Tamandua tetradactyla: one gene and its partners. The protein of the gene in region 2 interacts with the protein of the main gene of each other region in a biochemical or structural test. Links are inferred from orthologs where the notes say so. Each region holds a gene or a part of one and is shown on either strand. Other genes may lie near its edges. The genes, in order: ACVR1, BMP7 and BMPR1A.

Region 1 (8,075 bases), on a different chromosome or scaffold from region 2:
ATCACAGGCTACCAGGGATCACAGAGGCGTGCAGAATATGCGAGTTTGTCTCCGGTATACATATATAAGCATCCTCCTTTTGCTCTTAGGTTAGTCCCTCCAGCCCTGGTAAATGCTCTTAATATCAAAGACAAAGAAAATTGCTGCTCAGATAGGGAGCCCCACCCCAACTTAACCCGAGTACCCCCGTTAAATCAGCACCATCTCTTGTAATATCTTAGGCCTGCTCTCCTGGGAGACAGAACATTCCCATGACGCTCTACTAAAAACAGACACATCACCAGAGCAGAAGAGAACCACTTTCCAAATCCCATGGTACTTTTCAAACTCCATTTATAGATCAGACTGATATCTAGTTAAGGAGCTTAGCTCAATTTCTAACATGTGTAGGCTGTAGACCAAGTCTGGTACTTCTTTTGCCTGTCACAATTTTACAGCTGGATAAAGTCACAGATACTCTGCAATACAATACAGGGGGCAAAAGTTACAAAAGCATTTTTATATTGGTCACTGAATAAATAAGAGTATAATACATTTCCATGTTAACTTTTGGAATCCACAGTAAGTGATCTTAGTTGATAATCTATAGCGCTAAAACTTAGACTTACAAACACCACATAATTTGTCATTCATAACACTGAAGATGAGTGGAAAGTTATAAGAAATAAGGGTACTTCTGCCTTCTCCCAGTCATCTGTCAGCATTATATCATTATCACCTTAATAGCAATGGCACTTAATGAGCCAGGCACAGTGCCAAGGAATCAAAATGTATTACATTTCATTCAATCTCTGCCCAAAACACTTTAAGATAAATACCCATTAATCCATTTTACAGATAAGAAAACGGATAGATAGACTTTTAAGTAATTTGCCCAAGGTCACAAATCCAAACCCAAGGCCATCTGACCAGAGTTTGGATCCTAATTAACCACCGCTCTTCACAACCACCCCTTAACCAGCCATAGATTCACAATCCGGTTTTATCATCCTCAACATTTTATCCAAGCCTGAACTCATTCTGAGCTTCAAAAATCTTCTTGTTAGTGAAAAACCTACACCTATGGTTATTTGAGCCCTTCTCAATCAGGCCCTCTTTCCATTTCTCTCACCTCAAAATTAATTCCATCTACTTTATAACCCTGGATTATCTTCTCCCTCCCACACTCCCCAAAAAATCTTGATGCAAAAGAAAAACCAGCTGCCTTGATGACACAGAGAGGTTTCTATCTACCATTTCCCCATCCCACTCTTCAGTAGTCTTAAAATTCACCCTTCAAAATAAAACAGTATAAGTCAGGAACATTTTTTTGAAAAGACAGGCCCAGTAGGGGAAATTATAGACATAAAACATTAGGGGAAAATATACTTACAATAACCAACTGCAAGTGTGACAACAATTAGCCATTCTGTGAGAACATTTATTTCTCTTCCATTGTCAACAGGCAAAGAGATAACCCAAGCAGCATCTTGACCCAAACTACTTAGGCCCTTCCTTAGTGGGGGTGAAGAGAGATGTGGGCTGTCAGGGACAGCTATAAAGAAAAGTCTAACCAAGCCATCAGACCATAGGAGTTGTCAGCTCCCTTCTCCAGCTCACAAAATGGCCTGTTCAATGTTTTTACCACCACACTCTGTGTCTGAACTAGCCAAGCACATGTTGCCAGAACTTGGTTTTATATAGACACCAGTGCTGCTGGAGGTTTCTGGCAGGGCGTCACTTTAAAAATATTAGCATGTAATCTGATCTTTCCTGATACATGAATTCAAAGAGCTTCTTGAACAAATCTTAAACACCTGACATCCAGCTCTGGAATTAGTACATCCATAGTGAGAGGAAATAATTACAGATTTTTTCAGCAAAGCAAGGGTTTTGAGTGAAAGATTTACACTCTGACCATTCTAGCCTGGAAAATCGCCCTAAAATTTTGGGGAAAAAGCAATATGATAATCTGTGAAAAGAGGGAGAAAAGGTAAGGATTCATTGAGTAAAACTAAGTGAATGGTTTAGCTTGGGCTACGAAGTAAGAACCAAAGAATCCCCTCTCAATCTACTTTGAATTTACCCAGCACTGCCACACACCTACAAGGTGTGTAACTAAACTAAGCCTCTGAAACTTCCAATGTCTTGACTGCCCACTTGCATACCTTACCGGAACTTTCAAACTAGTTTTTATTTTATCATGCTTGACCAGAAGAGAAACTGTCCCTCATTTTCCACTTCAATTCCTTTGTATCAAATAGCCCTCATACTCCTGCTTTGCTCCAACTAACAGGATTCCATCTCCCAGCTGTTCTGTAATCTTTTTTCTCCTCAATAGCTCAGAGGTGTGTTCCTCTTACTCCACTTTGCAAAATGTGACCAGAACAATTTTCTTACCTACTGGTAAAAATCCCACATTCTCCAGAAGTCTTAAGTTAGATTGTGTCTACCCTTCCTAACTATGCCTGACCTGAAGTTTCCCTCTCATTACAGCCAAGTGATGGTTCATTTGGTGATTTATCCCAATTCTAAGGTTAAAATGATTAACCTCTAATGATCTGAAGGGGGTGGGGATGGGGATGGGGATGGAGATGAATGAAAAGGATGGAACCCTCAGGGAGGTCTGTTGTTTTTTGTTTGTTTGTTTTTAAGTTTTAAAACAGGAAACTGTCAGTACATATTTACAGATGTGAGAAAAAAGTACCCTTTACACAATGTACCTTGCCAGAACCTTTCTCCTCGTCCACACCCCACCTACCCACTTCCAAATTCATTTCTTCCTGTCTCAGACTTTCTCACGTTCACCTCCGATTGCACTGCGTTTGTTACCTTGCTATATCTTCTTCATAGCTTTTAAATCTGTGAAATCTGTTATTTATTCATTTATTATCTTTTTCCCCTTGGTCTCCCCACCAAAATGTAAGTAACCAACATGAGAGTAAAAACTCTGTCTGGCTCATGGTCAGACATCCCTGCACCTGGCACGGTCAGATTCATGTGAAAACACAGTAATCTTAAATTCTAAGTCTATGTTGCATTTTGGTCTGGATGAGGAGAGGAAAGTGAAGTTTTAGGAATTTTATGTAGGTTGGCAAGAAAATGACCAAGGGAGATGGGGTGCCTCATGTCCTCAATTTAATATAGTAGCAACCAGGTGTTTGAGGTAAATTAAAAGATATCATTTGAAACTTGAACTCCACTTTCATGGGTGTCATCCAAGAGAAGCAGCCAAAATAAAAAGTCGGCTGGCAGACTCCAAGTGTACCAGATAACTCCCTGGCGGACAATTTCCCATTTGGAAAGGACTGCTTGGCTCTCTACTTGCAGACACCAGCTGAGCCATCCTGAGTGACCTCGGAAATGGCTTCTGTAGCTTGAAAATGCATCTCCTATAAGTCAAAAATTGACATATTATCCCCTCCCCCCAAGTCTTCTAACGGTTATTGATGCTATTTGGAAAGTCATGCTTCCATGTCTATTAATAACCTCCAGAAAGAACCCAGAGGAAGTGTCAAGAGAAAAATAGATCTGGCTGATGGAAGCCACAGATTCAACCAGAGGTTACAATTAGCAATTAGTACATTTGAAGAAAAGGGAACTTGTAACATCTTCTGCATCAGATGTTATCTGCTGAGAAGACAAAACAAAAAATACTTAGCCAATAAATTCAAGGAATTTTGAATCAAAAGCCCAGTCTTAACAGAAAGGAACTCTCTCAAAGACCTCTTATCTATTTAAATAGACCAGCACCAGCAACTTAACTTTTATCTCCAAGCCAATGATGACAGGGAATTTTGCCTATGAAGCTATAGCAACCAAATCAACTTACTCTAAATAATGTAATAAGTTGCTAACATTAGTCTTTCAAAACACTCTTTTAGTGGTTTTTCTCCTCTCCCTTCCCCCAACTGGAATGTGATTAATGGAATCTCTCACAACTTAGCTAGAAATACGCTTTTGCCAGTGGAACAGCTAAAGCAGAATCAGATAATTGTGGTATGACTCAACAAATGCACAGCTGTTCATTTAAATATATCCACCAAAAATATAAATACGATCATGAGAAAGAAAATGAGCCATGGACACAGGGTCAGTGTACAAGTTGAACGGGTTAGTATTGACGTTACCACAACAGAACATGAGAAAAGAAACCAGCTAGGGAGGGATTCAGGATACTGTGTAGAAACAGATCCAATTACTGATGTAACCCAAAAAAATCACCCACCCACCAACCAAAAAACACTCACTGACCTGACTAGGAAAACTGATAAGTTAAAAATACAGCGAAACACACCATACTAAATGGGGAGAATAGAATAAAATTTTAAAGGTAGATGACATCCCCAAGTACGCAGAGCTAGAAAGCTCACATGGGAGAAAATTATGAGCCTGATCCGGTATTAAACAGAAGAAAAGAGGAGAAGGAAAAGGCAAGCACCAAACACCCACTGCCCTTGGCAACATGATTATGAAAGTCAGGAAAATATGGGAATCCCCCCACGTCCCAAAGTAAATAACTTCACACGAAGTGACCCCTTCTGCTGGGTTCTGTGGACTCTAGTGGGCCATTCTTAAGTGAGAGAAAAAGAAACTACCAGAAGGTGAAGGGGGGTGGGCAAGTGAACAAGAGAAAAGTGCTATGAACAGCCCACCTGACCCCATTCCTTCCTTCCCCTCAGGGCTGGATGAGTCAGTGCTGCCACCTCAAGGGGCCAAAAAGCCCAGTAAGAACTTGAGAAGCTGAGGCAGTGAAAAGACACTAGAGCCCCTTCTCTTCTAATATGTGATTTAAAAATAATATCAAATGAAAGGAACATCTAATCCATCTTGCCTCTTTCCAAGCTTGCTCTGAACGGTCAGAAAATTAAGTTCTCCCCAAAATAATCTCTCTGGTGATGGGGGCCTAACCGCACGCTTCATTTGACTACCTGAACATCCTGTGCTGGGAACCATTCAGGAAAACCTCTCAAATTATTTCTACAAACACCAACAAATCCCTCAATCCAAAGGGAGCCTCCCCTTTGGCCCCATACCTACTCTTTCTGCTTTCGCACGGGAAGGACAATCTTTTTCCACTTCCTCTCCTCTGGTCTTCAATCCACTGTGTCCTGTCCAAGACAACTCACTGTAATGCCTCTCGCTAAGGTTTTGTTTAGTCTGTACCTTATCCTTTAGCAGGATAAGGGCGCTTCTTCAAAACATGGATTCCCAGGCTCACCCAGAGAGATTTTTATTCCATCAATCCTGAAAAGAGGCACAAGAATCTCAGTCCCAACAGCAACTCAGAGGAAGCTGAGGTTGCCACGGGTGATCTCATTCATCTACTCTGTGATGGGCTGGTGTCGACAGCCTCCTTCTTCCAGAAACTCTTCCCTAGCTGGGGTCCAGGGACTTTTCTTCCTCCAGGACACTTAGTTACATGGGCTGGTTATATGGGTTTGTTCAGTTTTCTTTCATGGGGATTTCCTCTTCTGCTATGCATCTCTTAAATCATGATTTCCTCAAGGACCACACACCTCAGCCTTCTCTCCTTCTCACTCAAGATCTCATTCATTTTTTTTTTTTTAACTTCAAGGACCACTGTAGGCCATGGAGCTAACACTGTGACACCAGGGTAAGACTGCATTTTCCCTCCCATGGGACTACTCCTTCCTAATTAACATCTTCCCCTACCATGATGTCCACTGTCAATTAATTTTTGTTTGTTTGTTTGTTGCATGGGCAGGCACTGGGAAACAAACCCAGGTCTCCGGTATGGTAGGCGAGAATTCTGCCACTGAGCCACCATTGCACTTCCCTGTAAGTTAATTTTTTATAACTTATGTATTATAGATATTTCATGCATACATAGAAACAGAGGAAGTATAATAATCCCCACTTTCTACCACCCAATTTCAAAAATAAGCAACCTTATTTCCTCTTCTGCCCACTTTTTTCCTGAAATAGTTTAAGGAGAATCCAGGTGTCTTATCATTTTACCCACAAATTCTCTAGCAGATAAAGACTTTTTCTAAACACAACTATAAAACCTCATCTCACCTAGCAAAATTAAAATTATCCCTCCCCCAAATATCATCTTAAACATAATCAGCGTTTAATTTCCCCCAATTTTCAACTATAAGCACACATACATACACACATAAATCAAGGGGAGAATGGAAATAGAATACAAAAAGGAAATTTTAAAAAAATTTAAATCAGCCTCCAGTTTTCATAACCAGTGATACAATGGTAATATCGAGACAGTTATGGTGTGTGTGTGTATATATATATGGGGATTAAGTAAATGACCTAGTCTAATTCAATCACTTCTGCTGTTCTTGAGAACTGGATTTCTGTGCAATAAATGAGATATTGAGGACACACAGAATATGTTAAGTAAAAACCCTAGAATTTAATTGGGGTACCAGTATGAACTCATGAAATATTTTATATATATTTACTTCCTGCTCTGCCTGGTAAAAAGGCACAGAAACAATGGCTAACCCAGTAAAAATGAGTGTCCCAGGCTCCCAGACTGTTGTCTTAAACTACTACTTTCTACGAAATGAAAAGGCAAACAGGATGAATTGAACCATGAAGGTGCAATCAGCAAAATCCAGGCAGTGGGAAACTATCACTCAGATGGTCAGGTTTGTAACAGATATAATTAAAAAAAGAAAAGGCTGAGAGAGAGACAGAGAGACAAGATTGAACTGCACTGGCTGAGTATGCATACTTGGGTGAGGAAACCATAAAGAAATGAAGGAAGCAATTACTATAAAAGTCAGGAAGTGGTTACTGCTGGAGGGAGAGAGGGGGCAGCTGTGACTGGGCCAGGGCATGAGAATGAGCTCTAGAGCGGCTGCTAACACTCTCTTGTCAACATGAGAGGAGGTCAGAGATACCTCCCTTGTATTAACTAAACTAGGTTTATTTTGTGAGGATTTCTGTATCTGTGTTTATTTTACGATAAAAAGGTTAAAAAGGAATGCACAAAAGCTGAATGTATATTGTTAAAAGAAAGTACAACAAACACGCATGCACACAGAAACACACAGAAGACATATAAGCATTATGCATCAGACATGCAAAAATGTGCCCAGGTTTGTGTGTTACAAATACATTTATTAATCAATTTCTGAAATATCTATTATTCCTCACCTTCAAACTGAGGAAAATTTGGGGGTTTTCCCCAAATTCCAATTTTATTAATTTTTAGTAGCACAAAGAACAGATGTAGGTTTCCTAGTGATAAAAAGAAATCAACTGTTAAAAAAAAACTAATATATCTTGTAAGAAGTTGGTGCTTCCTCTTTCAATTATGTTTTATGTGTCAATGGAAATGCGAAGGCTAGCTTCCAGATCAGAGATTCCCCAAATTGGACTATGCAACCTACGACCTAATAAGAAAAATTATCATAAAGATATGAACTGTCCATAAGGGGTTTATCTATATATTTAACACAATCCCCAAAATTTGCAGGTTTTCTTCTCTAGGGAAGAGTAAGGGGCCCAGGATGACTGCACATGATTATTTTAAAGCTCATATAAACACACACACATGAAAATTCTGTAAAAGAGAGTAAAAAAGGGGAGACTACTCTACCAAAAAGAAAAAAAAAAACATTTTAAGCTCCAAGAGTTGAAACAATATGACTATGGTATATACATAGGCAAACAGAGCAATAAACCTACATGAATATCCACAAAAAAAAGACCAAAATATATACGACAATTTATATCTATCAAAGGAGACACGTTGTAATAGTCAATAAAACTGGAATGTATAGTCAGTGGAACAGAGTCTGCTAATTTTCTGTCTTTCCCTCTCTTCCTGGGTCAATGCTGACCAACAGAGACTTCATTTCCCAACCTCCCTCATGGCTAGGTATGCCCATAAAACTAACTCCTCACGAATGGAACATACATTAGAAGTGATATGTGCAACTTCTGATCTCACGCTTTGGACTTTCTCCTCTGCTCTTTGCACTGAAGGAGCCCAAAGAGGAACAACCCACTATGACCAAGAGTGACAACAGTTATCAGTGTAACAAGAAGAAAGAAATATGTCTGTGACTGTCCAGTGGACATGGGCTATTTCACTGACCTGT
Region 2 (6,922 bases):
ATAAATTCGCTTTTCTTTGCTTGGCCAGGAAGTAGATGTTCATGAAAAGTTTCCTTGTTGTTGTTTTTAAAACTTTTGGAGGCTCTCATGCTAACATATTTTCCTTTTCATCCAGATGGCAACTGACATTTATCAGGCGTTTTCTCTGTGTCCCCAGGCGCCATTCAAAGCCCTTTACGGGAATTAAATTCTGAATCCTTGCAGCAGCCCCAGGAGGCAGGCACTCTCAGTAGCCCATTTTCCAGGTGGGGGAACTGAGGTCCAGAGGAGTGGAGACCCTTGCCCTTGTCATGCAGATGGGAAGCGGCAGCCCAGGGTGTCCACAACTCCTGCCACCACCTGAGACCCTCTAAATGGTCTCACAGCTTTTAGCTCCCAAGCCAGCATCGGAGGCAGTTCCAGCCCAGACATTGCCTGCATGTTTGCATTCATTCATTCATTCATTTACTCCTTCCTTCATTTGTTTGGCAAGCATTAATTGAGGGCCTGGCTCAACCCTGGGACTCCTTTAGGGGAGAAAGCAGGGAAAATAAAGAGCCGCCCCCTCCCCCAGCAGGGAAAGATAAGGTTAAATAGGGGGATCTTGGGAGTTCAGAGGGGACCTTATCTTTTCCTATTGGAAGTGCCTCATGAAGGGGCTCATTCTGCATTGATTGTCACTGGACAGCTGTCACTGGACAGCTATTTACTGAGCAAATGCTGGGTGTCAGGCTCAGGATGAGCTCAGAGGAGATGCAAAGAGAGGGGCAAGTCCTTGCTTCAAGGATTTCCAGCGGCAGAGAGGAGCCTGGAGGAGATGCTGACAATCCTGTACCAGTCCTTATTTGTGCTCCTGTGTAAATCCGCAGCACCCATACCTGCCCTCCTCTCCAGGCTCATTTGCTTGTAAAACAACACCCCTCCCCACCCCTCACCCCGCCAAAACAAAAAGCTTTGCGAAATGCTTAAAAAAGCAGAGACAGTGTGGGGAGCCACTGTGATTCTCATTTGCATTTTACCTCCTGGAAGAAAGGGCTGCCTTCATCTTCACTGGCCTCTGAGGTAGCAGGTATAGCCGCTTCGCCCCTGGCGAGCCAGCATGGGGGTGCATGGGTGGTGGTGGTGGTGGAACCCTTTCCCGGTCCCCAGGGCTTGGGCATTCGCTGTCCCTCTGCCTGGCTCAGGTCAACGACAACTCCTCCCTCACCACCTTACCTTGTTTATTTCCTCTGTCGCTTATCCTGAGCTGAAAGGAGCAGGTTGTTGAGTTGTGCACTCTGCCTCTGGTGGAACCTCGAGGCCACCGGCACTCTCTGACTTCCCATCACCCCCGTGGTAGCCACCCCCTCCACAATGCTCTCAGCCCACCTGTCCTCCCTCCTCACCCTCCTCCGCCTGCCTTCCAGCTGCCCAGGGTGCCAGAGAGGAAGGATGGACATGGGCTGCCTCCTCTCCCTCCCCTCCCCAGCCAAGCCTGATTTAAGGTGCCAGGTTTGCTGCCCCTGACCTGAAAGCCAGTTCCTTGACAGTGGCCACCTCACGGGCTCCTGCTGTACCCCCTGTTAGCACAATGTCAGGCCATGGGATTGCCACGTTGGGGGGCCCAGTGCAAGATGAAAATGCGGGGCCCTTGTTCATGGAATATTAAGAAATTCAAGATGGCGACAAGGGAGCATTAAACAAGTGTGGGCCTTTCTGAGCACCAGCCCTGGGGAGACTCACGGGCTGTACTCTGACCCTGTTCGGTGACCAGGAAGTGCTCAGGAGTGAAGGGCTGATGGGCAGTTCAAGGGGCCCCAATCCTAGGTAAGGGGCTCAGGCCTGGGGGCTATTTGACATACCCTTCCTCCTCACTGAGCCTCTGGCCTCTTCTCTCAACCCATGTGACCCCCTTACTCCAGCCTCTTGTCTGAAAGCCCCAAAGAGAGATCGGGAAGGCTGTAAGCAGAACTGTCTCTGCTGGAGAATACTGGAAAAGACCAGCTTGGCCAAGTTCCCCTTCATCAGCCTTCCTGCTGCAGGGAGGACCAGCCCTTCGGGCCTAGCCAGACCCTTCAAAAGTAAATCCCCTGCCCCAAACCTAGCCTTCCACCTTACCGCGTTGGATGACTCTCCATCTAGCCCACCCAACGGGAGTCACCACTTTGTATGCTTGCCTCCTCGGGGTAGAACCAGAAAGGAAGGAGGCAAGATTTGAAGTTCAACTCACGGTGCTCCCTGCTGCTCACGGTGAGGTGTTCTTCTGCTCCCACTTTTACAGAGGAGGAAACTGGGGCTCTGGGGAGCAGAAATTCACATATGGTCCAATAGCTGGCAGAGGGGACCCATAGGTTCTGAGCTGTCTGGCTCAGTTATGTTTGTGGGGAGAATGAATGAGGGAAGGTGTGGGGAGGGCAGAAAGGAGGCAAGGAGGAGCTGGCAGGTGAGGTCTCAGATAAACTAGGTGCCAAGGCAAGCTGCCTGCCCCCACACACGGTCAGGGTGGAGAACTGCGGGGGAATGTCAGAGAGTGGATGGCTGTTCTGGGGAGTTGGAAATAAATGGAGCCCAAAAGAGGAGGAGAGGGGAGGAGTTACTCCAATTTCATCTACTCATTCAACAAGTATTGCTTGGGCAGGGCAGTGGCTACCAGGTGTTGGATTTAAGGGCCTAGGGAGACGAGAGCAACCTTATGGGGAGACACACTAAAGAATTCTCCGCAAGATAAAATAATCATGTGTAAGAGTGAGGGGGCAAGCCACCTTAGCTGCCCTGGTCTGGGAAGCGCTCTGGGAGAAGGTGACAGCCAGGTAGACTGTCCAAGCACCGGGTATGGAAAGGGAAGTGAGGGGGTAGTGGAGAGTTTGAGGCAGAGGGAATTGCAAGTGCAGAAACAAGTTGGAGACAAAGTTGGGGGGAGGCGCAGCAGGGTGAGCATGGCTGCAGGGCAGAAAGCTGGAGGGCAGAGGGACAAGATGGGCTCTTGTGACACCTCCTCTGCGACTTCTCCTCTGATTCCCGCGCCTGCTCAGAGCTTCATCCATTATATCCCGGATTCCAGGGTCCCGCTCGGGCCTCCTTTCCATCCCGACTGTAAGTCCCGGGAGGGCAGGGCCGTCTCGGATTCCTCCCTTCGAAGCCCCGCGGCGCCCGACCCGGTGCTGGACACCCTGTGGGCACTCGGTAAATATTTGTCGAGCGCGCTAAAAGGGATGAATGAACCCATTGGGCGCAGTTGGGGGGAGGGCGGGGCCGAGGGCAGGTGGGAGGCCGCCGGCGCGGGAGGGCCCCTGGAAGTCCGTCCTCCTCCTCCTCCTCCTCCTCCTCCCAGGCCCCAACGCGTACCACTCTGGGGCTCCCGAGGCGGCCTCTCGTGCGATCAGGGACGCACAGGGCTGGGAAAGCGATCCGTGAGCCCTGCTTTCCGCGCCGGAGGTCGGAAGAGAGTGGGTCGCGGCCGCCGGAGGGCGAGAGCGCCGGAGGAGCGGGAGGAAGGAGCGCTCGCTCGCCAGCTGCCTCGCTGCCTCCCCGGCGCCTGCTCTCGCCGGCTGGGAGGTTGGCTGGCTGCTCCTCCCACCCGCGCCAGCCTCTTCGCTAGCTTGCTGGTTGGAGCTGGTTTCCAAGCCCCGCGGTGCGCCCGGGGGACTGCGGGGCGAGGGGCCCCAGGGCCAGCGCCGAGCCGGGGGCGGGGGTCCGGGCAGAGCGCAGCCGGCCGGGGAGGGGCCATGTCCGGCGCGGGCGCGGCGGGGCCCGTCTGCAGCAAGTGACCGATCGGCGTGGACAGCTGCCTGCCCCTCTCCGCCACCTGGGGCGGCGCGGGCCCGGGTGCCGGGAGCCGGGTGCCCGGGCGGCGCGGAGAGCCGGCGCGATGCACGTGCGCTCGCTGCGCGCCGCGGCGCCCCCCAGCTTCGTGGCGCTCTGGGCGCCCCTGTTTCTACTGCGCTCCGCCCTGGCCGACTTCAGCCTGGACAACGAGGTGCACTCGAGTTTCATCCACCGGCGCCTCCGCAGCCAGGAGCGGCGGGAGATGCAGCGCGAGATTCTCTCCATCTTGGGCTTACCCCACCGCCCGCGCCCGCACCTCCAGGGCAAGCACAACTCGGCGCCCATGTTCATGCTGGACCTGTACAATGCCATGGCGGTGGAGGAGGGCGGCGGGCCCGACGGCCAGGGCTTCTCCTATCCCTACAAGGCTGTCTTCAGTACCCAGGGCCCCCCTCTGGCCAGCCTTCAAGACAGCCACTTCCTCACCGATGCCGACATGGTGATGAGCTTCGTCAACCTCGGTGAGTGAGGGCGGGCGGGAGGGGTGCGCGTCTTGGGCCGGGCGCCGCAGGACAAGGAGGGGGCCGCCCCTTATGTTCAGTCCGCCCACCTCTCCACTCCCGGAGGTTTGCCAAGCCGCCGGTGCCTGCCTGGTCGAGAGTCCCCCAACCCCCAGCCCAAGTGGACCCCAAGCTGAGCGCGGCCCCAGGTAGCGTGAGCCGGGCTCGGCTGGCCTGTTGCTGTTATTGGGAGGGAGGGAGCCGCCTGAAGCCCCCTTGGGGTACGACGCGGGCCGCACCTCTAGTGTTGGAGGCGCCGGGCCCGGCCGCGGTTCAGTTCAAAGCGCGGGGCTCGGTCATGTGAGCTGCCCGCGCTACCTGAATTTAAAGAGTCTTTCTAGTGAAACCGCCTTCCCGCCCTTCTTCGGTGCCGCTCAGCCCTGCCCAGCCCTGTCACCGCGGCCGTCGCGGCCCCTTCCCGCCTTGGCGAGCCCCACCTGTCCCCTCGCTGGGCCGCCCGCCGGAGCGTGCTGCGCGCCCCGGGCGCCCCGGAGCCCCTCTCCCCGGGCACCCCCCTCTCTCCCGGCTCTACCCGCCGGAACTGGGGAAGAAACGTTGCCGTTGCGAGCTTTCTATTTTAAAATATTTAATGATAGGTCCCGGGCGGGTAGAATCCATTTTCAGCTTTTATCACGTGTGGCGCGCCAACCACCGGTTTGGGCGATTGGGTGGCGCGGGATCTCTGAGCAGACGCCACCGGGGGCGGCTGGGGGACCCGGATCCCGACGGTAGCCGCGATGACACCGGCGACGGAAAGCTGGGGCTTCGGCGGGGGCCCCGTGGCTCCCCTCGGTAGGGGCTGCGTACATTCTCCAGACTTGCGCAAACTAACCCCCGACAGCGCACTGTGGGGCGGAAGACCAAATATTTGATCTCAGAGATAAAGCACCCCGATAGCGCCGTTTCCCCAGCCGCTTTTATTCTACTTGCTGCGAAAATCCGAACCGAGTCAAGACAGCAAACTTCCACCCACGGGCTCTGTGTCAACATCGAAATAATGACCCTAAATCCCCACGTCGGGTACCTGGGGAGTGGATGGGGGTGGGGGAAAGCAGGGATCGGGTTTAATGCTTCCCGCCCCAGGTACCCTGGACGCCATTGTCTGTCTTAAATGATAACCAAACATCAACTAGTGAAATGCGCTTTGGCGAGCAAGGGGTGGGAGATTTAGATGCCCAGGTAAGTTCAAGAAAACTTTGAGTTTTATTAGCAGCCTGGTAGGAGGGAGGCAGCTGCACAGTCCGGATTTAGAAACTAACCAAGGTATATGAGGTGGAAAACAGCAAGGTGCAGGAATCAGTGAGTCTGCGTGTGTGTTTGGGTATCATCCCTGCCCTTCCTTCTGCAGGAAGACACCATGACAAACTGCAAATAGATTTAGTGAGGTGGAGGCAGAAGTGGGGCTGGGGCTTACCGGTGGTAGAGGGGGTTCTGATTTTTCACTCTCTGTCTGCACTTTGATCTGTGGCCTTTTTTTTTTTTTTACAGTGTGTATTTATTACCTGTAGCAAATCTAAAGAAAAATTATAAAAATGGAAAAGTAGACGTGGAGCTTCTGTTCTTTCCTGAAGTGGGGGTGGGGTGGGGGTGGGGCAGGGTTAAACCAGGACCCTTTCTCTGGCTGAGGATCCAAACCTCTTCCCTTCTGTTGGTTCAGATGGGTTCCCAGCACTGAATGAAGCAGGTCCCACCTGCAGCCTTGGGAGCCTGGCTGGGGTCGTTAAAAAGGCATTTGTAAGCCCTGGCTTCTGTAGAAGGCTCTGCAGACTCAGTCCAAAAAGTGCCCCATGCTTGTAGATTGGCAGTGTGGCTGAACCCCGGGCTACCACCCCCTTCCCACACCCCATCCCAGAGGAGTGAGTGCCTCTGGGTAGCTGGGGTAGGGCTGTTTGCTTCCCCCTGCTGTGGAGGTGGGGGTGGTGGGGGCGGTGGGAACGAGTTGGGACTCGTTTGGGAAGGCCCCAGTTGGGTGGTTTTCCTCCTGTGGGTGTACACACACCTTTCAACGCCGTTAGCCCTGTTTCTTTCATCTTGCGAGGACAAAGACCAGCTTGTCTGAGCCTCTTCATCAGCTGGCCTGGCTCTGGGCTCCGTGGGACAGTCCTGACTTTCTCAGGTCTAACTTTGTGGAACATCACTCCGAATTAGATGGTGGAGTGGCTATTAACAGGGCACGCTGAGCTTGTTTTTTCTCTCTCTCTTTCCTAAAACGAAAGGCACTTCATTAGATGAAGACCTGGAGTACAGTTTGGCAAAACTCTTCCTGTAGAGCCTTCTAGGGCTGGCCTTTAATTTCTGCTCAGCAACAACACATGCATAAAATGTCTGCCCCTTCTATTCTGCCTTGGCTCTGGAATTTCTCCGTAGGAGGGGTGGTGGTAATGGGGCTGGAGGGGAAGGGGGCAAGTAGGGCACTTGTCCTGCAGCTGAGTTTACTGAGAAAGCACACTGTCCCCTTGGCCTGTAGATCCTATCCATCCGTAATATACAAACTTTTCAAAAGGTACGTTCAGTCACACTTTCCGTTAAGAGTGAGAAAATGTCACTTGTCCATATCAAACCACTGCTCGCTACATTCAGGAAACTTTGAGGGCCCAACTGATGGAGACCTTGGTGGCAGAGGGGTAGGCTGACCTCTT
Region 3 (7,297 bases), on a different chromosome or scaffold from region 2:
TTGAGCCAGAACAGCCAGGCAGAGATAGTAGTACATAAAGCAGATGGAAAAGAGAATTCAAGCGCAGAAGAGAAATCAAGATAGAGATTTGAGAATTACACATAAAGAAGAGTCTGAACAATAATGTCAAAGGACCAGAGGTACATAGAAAGCGGACTGAAAACTGAAACTTAAAGGGCACTTAAATTAAGCAGGAAGAAGAACAGAATGTAGAAAAGGAGCAGTGAATGACAAAGTCAGAAGCCCCCTTTTCATCTAGTTGTCACCTGTCTTTCAAAATTGTCCTGTGTTCCAAGGCAACATTTTTAGAGAGGCCTCCCCAGATTCTCCCAACAATACCAGTACCAGAACAGGTCCCCATTTTAGGCTCTTATATAACACTTGGCACTTTAATTATAATCGCAATTACAGTTAATTACATAATCCATTCTTCAATATCCTTCTCCTCCTCTAGACTATAAACTCTATAAGGGCAAAGAGCATACCTGCTGATGCTGATGCATCCTATTGCCTTGCACTGTGTGTTGGAATACAGCAACTATTCGTTGAATGAAATGTATACAAAAGCATTTCGAGAATGTAATGCTAAACGCTACAAAAATCTCAAGGAGACTATTTAGAAAAGGTGCTTGAATGTGTTGATTAGGTTATAGATGATCTTCAAAATAACAGTTTCAATTGATTTGTGAAGGTGAAATCCAGGTAGCAAGAGATTAAGAAGTGAATGAGAGGCCAGGAAGGCAGGAAAAGCAGACTACTCCTTCAAGAAGTGTAGTTAACCATGGCAATTGTTACAGAAACGGGACTATGAATGACTGAATTTTAATTTTACCTCAGTTTTACTCCATTTTGCAATTCTGCTTTAATAAACATGTATTACTTTTACAGGGAAAAACTTTTTTTTATTAACTTTTTAATTCATTTGAAAAGGAAAAGCAGTCAACAAGACAGCTTGAGGGAGTAGGGGCTCAAGGAAAGTTCTCAAAAAATTGAGGGAATCTTAAGCACATTTATACTTTTAAGAACCCAAAGACTTTTGAGGGATAATTTCTGCTCCATTAAGTAGAAAAGAAGAGAATAAAGAACAAGTAAGGTGTTAATTTAGCAAAAAGGACAAAAAATATTCTTCCTCTGAGAAGAGAAGCAGCAGATGATAGAAGGAACTCAGTAAATTCTGGAAGGTGTTCCCACAGGGATGCCTCAATCTTTTTAGTACGGGCAGAGAGATGTGAAGAAAATAAAAGAGATCTGAAATAGACGCTAAGGAGAACGTGGGGGGGGGGGGGCCAGGAATAGAACATTGTTTCTATTAAGAAATGCTTTCTAAATCTCAATCAAGCCTTTCATAAACTCAACCCAACTCTAGATCAGAGAACAACCTGTATTTTGGCTGTAAATTTAAATATTTAAATTATTCTGGTTCAAAAACTTTTAATTTCAACAACTGAAAACAATGATAAACAGTATTAACATTTCATTTCAATTCAAAGTTTAACTCTTCCTACAAGTCAATATAGTAAAGGAGTTATTTTCAACTCAAGCAAAAATAGTCATCATTTTAAATGTAAATAAAAACTGCTCAACATGCAAGTGCAGAAGAGTTGTGGTTGTGGGTGTTTTTGAACTCATAGTATACTTCATCTTAACAGTTCCTGAATATGAAGGAAAATTCCGGGTTCAAAATCCCAGCTCCCTTAAACAAGTTATTTAACCACTCTGAGTCTTGGTTTCCTCCTCCGAAAAGTGTGGAATACAATAACCAGGCTTTAGCATACGGATTAAATGACGTAACACAGGTGACTGTGCCAAGTCCATACAATATACTCGGGAACAGTTTGTTAACCGTTTAGAAGAGGAAAAAACTGCAACACTTAAACCAAATTAAAATATCTGAGAGCATGAAAGAGTACAAGTCACAAAAAGCCAGACCCTAACACAGAGCACATTATTTTTCTTCCCTGACGCAAGTATTTTTTGTTGTGTTTTTTTTTCCCCTTGCTAAACCTTTCCACTAGGAGTCTGGAAAAGAAAAAGGTTGCATTCAATTCAGCAAAAAAGTTTTCGGAAACTGAAGCGCAGCATCACAACAGACACGGCAGCGAAGGGCAGGTGAACCGACACAGGGACCTGCGAGAAACCCGGCACCTTCCCGTGGGCAAGCTTTCGGGGAAGCAAGAAATCCCCCTAGTTCTACGTCCACATGAAACACTTTTCACCCCCTTTTGCAGAAGCGTCCAGAGACTAATCACGCGTATCAACCTCGCAGCTACTGGGCGCGGGGTGAGCGCCTTTTCCATTTAAGGACCCCCTTTCCCATTTAAGGATTCAAGTCGCGTACTGCAGGCGCCTTTTGCCAACACCGCCTTCCCAAAGTCGGCCTGAAACCCGGGGGTGGGAAACAAAGGAGGGGCCGGGCGGCGGGGGCGCCGCGGGCGGCAGGCAGGGCCCGAAGGGTCTCTAGGGGTGGAAGTGGGGGAGCCCGGGCGAGAGCTGGAGGCGACAGTCCCGGGTGGGGACTCGGGGTCGGCGGGGCCCGACCCGCGCCGCGGCCTGAGGGACAGCGCGAGGCGCAGGCTGACAACGCTCGAGGCCGCGGGGGCCCTACGGGCCCACCGGGCCAAGCTGCAGCGTCCCTCCGAGCGCCGCCCCCTCCCTCGGTCAGCCGCCCCCTCCCTCGGGCCACCGCCCCCTCCCTCGGGCCACCGCCCCCTCCCTCCGGCCGCCGCCCCCGCTTCGGACAGCCATCGTCCACCGGGCCTCCCAGCTCGCGGTCCGGTTCCCTCAGAAACTTCGCTCCGAGCGCCGCGCCGGCCTCCCCGCTGCGGCCCGGCCCTCCCGGCGCGCACACGCACTTTCGGACAAGTCAACTCACCCGGATCCCGGGGCACTCATCCTCCAGCCCCTCTGCGCGGAACGGGGTGCGCGCTGTGAGCCGGGGGGGAGCGCCTGGGGCCCGGCTCGGCCTCCACCCTCGGTGTGCAGCGACCCGGGCCCTGTAGCCCCTCGCGCGGCCGTGCGATCCTCGTCTCGCGCAGACGGACCCGCCGGAGCCCGAGCCTTCCTGCCCGCCCTCCCAGCCCTCCGCCCTCCTCCTTCGGCGCAGGCCAGCAGGCGGATTCCAATCTCGGCAGCCGCCGCCGCCGGGGCCGACACTCGCGCGGGGGGGGGGTGCGGGGGAAGGAGGACCGGGGCAGCGGGGGCCGCTGGGGGAGGGGCGGGCCTGTGCGAGCCCCGGGCGCCGCGCGCACGCACTGAGAGGGCGCCCGCCAGCGCCGCGCGCACCCAAGCCTGGGCGCCGGCCCCGCCCTGGACTCGAAGGGAGCCGAGCGTGCGGCGGAAGCACCCGAAGGGCCCGCGAAGGCCGGCGCCCCGCTGCCGGGGGGGACGCCGGGCCGCCGGCAAGGGGGCGCCTGGTTGCTGGGAGCGGAGAGGAGGGGGGCTTCTCCTCGGCGTGCCGCCGCCCCGTCGCTCGGCGCGAGACCAGCCGGCCCCAGGTCTCCGGAAGCCGCCAGCCTGGGCGCCGCGGCGTGGGGGACCTCGGGGCCGACGCGGTGGAGAAGGCGCCGCGGAGGGCGGGCGACAGGGCTCGCTGGGCTCTCTCGGCGCTTCGCACACCCCGGCAGCGCGCGCGGGCACCGGCCTGGTTGCGTCCGGACGAACGTAGTCGGCCAGAATTCACGCACCGAGCTGTGCGGTCGCCAGGCCACTGAACTAGTAGGGTTGCGACAGAGAAACGAAAGATGCAGTCACACTTGGCTTATTACTGCCCGGGTCGCTTCCCTTTTGGGGCTCTTTGCCGACGTGCCGGGGACCCGTGAGGGAGGTGGAGGTGAGCGGTCTCGGGGTGAGCCGAGGAAAAAGGCATTTCTTCGTCGATCCGCGGTCTCGGAGACCCAGCTCGCGCTGGGATCTGCGAGCCCGTGGGTTCCAAAGGCGCTCACCCGACGCTGAAGTCAGCGGACTATAAATATTCCTCCCATCTTTACCTTTGGCTCGCTTTTGTGACCTTGTGTACCCTCCGGAGTCTCCGTTTACAAAGTTGTAAATGATCGTCACTACCTCTTCCCTTTGAATTTTCCCTCGTCTTTTGTGGCAAAGGCAGTTGAAGATATACAGTGTCCTGTATGGGAAGAAAGGGGACAAGGCCTCCCTTAACAACCAAACTGACCCTATTCGTATTTCATCTCAATGAGTAGATCATGTTAATTTTAGTCTCCTTACAAAAGATGGTGTTTTCCAAAAGTCTCTTTATGAAATCACTTTTAAAATTGTGGATGAAGAGAAGGGGGAGGGAGGAAAAAATGTGCCAGACCTTGTTTTGTTTTTTTTAATACACGTTCTCCTCCAGAGTTATTTAGATCTCAGGGCATTTCTTGATATCCTTATTTATCCTTATGTTCTTGTTTGGATGTTTTTTTACTCTCCGTCTTTCAGCCCGTCCCCCTTAGCTTTTCTTTTTCCTACCTTTACCCTTAATGACTCAGAATACCTTGATAAATCCGAATTATTTTTCGGTGCTGTTTTCTTCTCTGACTTTTGTTCTGGGCTCTAATTTAGCTGTCTCAGGTTTGAGAGTCAGTGGGTTATAGTATCTTGCTATGCAGAAAGAATCTAAGATATGTGAGTTTCCTTAACATCAATTACAATTTGTCACTTCTTTTTCAAGTTTCCTGTATACTGCCCTGCTATAATTATAGGGGAAAGGGTGGGCCTTTTGCTCAAGCAGATTCAGATTGATGGGCGGAAGAATTCACTGCTGTACTCTGAGCAGTGTGTCATGACAGAGAAAAGCATGGTGTGTGTGTTACGTACTCTATATCCTAGATCGATTTTTAGACACTGTATTAGTCTGTCAATAGCCAAGAGTCTCAAGTTGGAACTTTAGTCCATCAGATGTCTGAAATACCCACCTCAGTGTTGCTGACTTGTGGTTATATGCCAACATGAAAATGAGAGCAAAATTGAGACATCAAATTTTAAGTCATGACATCTCTGACTGCTTCTCTACAAAACGATCTACTTTTCAAAGTCTTTCGGAATTTCACTTGACCTCATTTTGCTCTCCTTACCTCATCTAGTGCCCATATTAAAATCCCAAGCATATATCACGGCAGGCAACCTTCCGACAGCCGAACACAGCATTGTGTTGTCTTTGGTTCCTGGCATGTGTATGCGTGCCAGCCTGTTTCTCCGGTTTGCCTGCCCACTAAACGAACAGTGCAGCCAGGAAGCCCAAGGCGACATCTGGGCACGTGTGGTCTGGCCACCAAACTCAAAGGCAGTGTCCCAAGATTCAAATTTAACATTTTTAAATGTGATGGTATTCCTGTAAGTAAATTAATAGAAGGGGCTAGAAATGGGCCTTTTCCTCTGTACAGCCTGTTTGAGGTTTTGGTCCCCTGCTGTTGCATGGCCAAATCACATAGCATTAGTTTGGAACAGAAATGTATTAGATCTTCCCCTTACTGGCACTTTGGAACAGAAATGTATTAGATCTTCCCCTTACTGGCACCTTCTCATACAGGTCTTAGGTTCCCCAGGGAGGCCTTCCCTGGTCACCTATCGTAAATTAATAACCCCTTAAATTTCATTTTCATTATACCGCTTTTTACTCTTGCAGTTACCTTGTTCAGATATGTGGGTGTGTCCTCCCTCCCTTCTGAAATGTAAACCCCATGAGAGCAAAGACCTTGTCAGTTTTGTTCTCAACTGTGCCTGGCACATTCTAAGTGCTCCATATTTGTTGCTGAATGAGATAGATAAGGATAGAATATTCCTCTGAGCATTTCTGAACTTTTGTCACCAAGACCCTTCCAGTTTTAGGGGATGTTGTGGACTCTGTTGGAAGGGTTGAAGATTGGCCGGGGAAGCTGTGGATTTCACCATCTTCAGGAAAATGGGCTTCTACCTTCAGGGATCCAAGTTCATTGGCAGTGAATCCATCCAAAATCATTTTCCCGTTGTAATGACTTTGTGAGTCATTACAGAACCAAGTCTTTGTAGGTAGCACCAAGTCTTTGTAGGTTTGGTGATAAGTTAGAGCGTAGTAAGGAGGGATTATTGATAGGAGGCCTTTGGTAGGATGATACTTTAGGTTGGTTTCAGATTGGTTATTAAATGGATGAAAAGGTTGAGGAGAGTAGAGGAAACATTTGCATTTCTCAGCAAGAACACTACTTCATCATTATATTGATTCAAAATACCCCAACCTGGTTCAGAAATACCAAGCCACAACATCTTGTGTTTAAGAAAAAGAAGCCTACATACAAGTAATAATTACGGGCATAAATTAGAGAAAAAATTAAAAACATGAATTTATTCCTTTTCTTTATAATGGTACAGTGCTTTACTTTCCCTTCTATTTTACTTCTAAAAAACTTCTTCCTTCTTCCCTACTCCATTTCAAATTCTCTTTGCTTCAAAGTATTTGTTTACTATGAAGATGGTTTATGCCTCCAGATTATTCATATACCAGATAAGCCATGAAACCCAGAGGCACCAGTCTCTCCAAAAACATTGACTAGTTGCATTCCCCATCCCCATAATGTCGACACCCCTTTCTAACATGAAGAAGTTAGAATGGTCATTGCCCAAATAGCCCTGAAGATTGGGAGAAGGAACAAATGAGAGCGAGGAGTTGTAACAGAGGAGATAGGATTATAAATGATTGTGACTACCGAATAATATTGATATTTCTTGTAAATCTCTAATGTATTAGAATAGCTAGAAGGAAATACCTGAAATTCTGGAACTGTAACCCATACCATACTTTGACATTTGCTCTTTAACTACTTGTTACACTGTACTTCGAAATTTATCACTTTTCTGCATGTATATTTCACAATAAAAATTTTTTTCAAAAAAGACAGTATATGGTTTACTGAGGTTATCGTTTAGCCTTTACTTCGTCCTTCCTAGTTCCTGGCCTCTGTAGTTGGTTGTCCTCTCCCCACTATCAATGCTTCCTTTACCATAGACCCCAGTCCTTTCCAGGATGTAGGCCCTGAGATGGGAAATTCTCAGGGCTCCAGTCCCAAGCCAGCAACTCAGACTCCTGCGGCCTTTGATACTTACTTGAGGAACCCTAACCTTAGCCCCTTTCTGTGAACTGACTCACAGCCCTTTTCTTGTGCCTTGAACACCTGGCCTGTTAACCTTCCTGGAACTCCATTTCCTCTGTCACCTAGACTCAGCCCGAGCCCTACAACACAGTCTCTACTGTGCACCAGTAAATACTTGCAGCCACACTTACCTGCTTCCAGCATTTGGTTCCTACATTCTTTCCTTCTACATTCCA

What was found.
Region 1: the proteins of BMP7 (region 2) and ACVR1 form a complex in vitro, tested with the Homo sapiens proteins (2 studies listed by BioGRID). The link is inferred for Tamandua tetradactyla from reciprocal best matches to the Homo sapiens genes BMP7 and ACVR1.
Region 3: the proteins of BMP7 (region 2) and BMPR1A form a complex in vitro, tested with the Homo sapiens proteins (2 studies listed by BioGRID). The link is inferred for Tamandua tetradactyla from reciprocal best matches to the Homo sapiens genes BMP7 and BMPR1A.

The regions. Positions count from the first base shown.
Region 1 is NC_135329.1:128,173,230-128,181,304, forward strand, and holds the start of ACVR1 (activin receptor type-1), read right to left. Parts: upstream 3,047-8,075; 5' UTR 1,408-3,046; coding exon 1,373-1,407; intron 1-1,372. UniProt on the Homo sapiens protein: Bone morphogenetic protein (BMP) type I receptor that is involved in a wide variety of biological processes, including bone, heart, cartilage, nervous, and reproductive system development and regulation.
Region 2 is NC_135327.1:28,167,581-28,174,502, forward strand, and holds the start of BMP7 (bone morphogenetic protein 7), read left to right. Parts: upstream 1-3,826; coding exon 3,827-4,244; intron 4,245-6,922. UniProt on the Homo sapiens protein: Growth factor of the TGF-beta superfamily that plays important role in various biological processes, including embryogenesis, hematopoiesis, neurogenesis and skeletal morphogenesis.
Region 3 is NC_135339.1:9,125,151-9,132,447, forward strand, and holds the start of BMPR1A (bone morphogenetic protein receptor type-1A), read right to left. Parts: upstream 3,066-7,297; 5' UTR 2,873-3,065; intron 1-2,872. UniProt on the Homo sapiens protein: On ligand binding, forms a receptor complex consisting of two type II and two type I transmembrane serine/threonine kinases.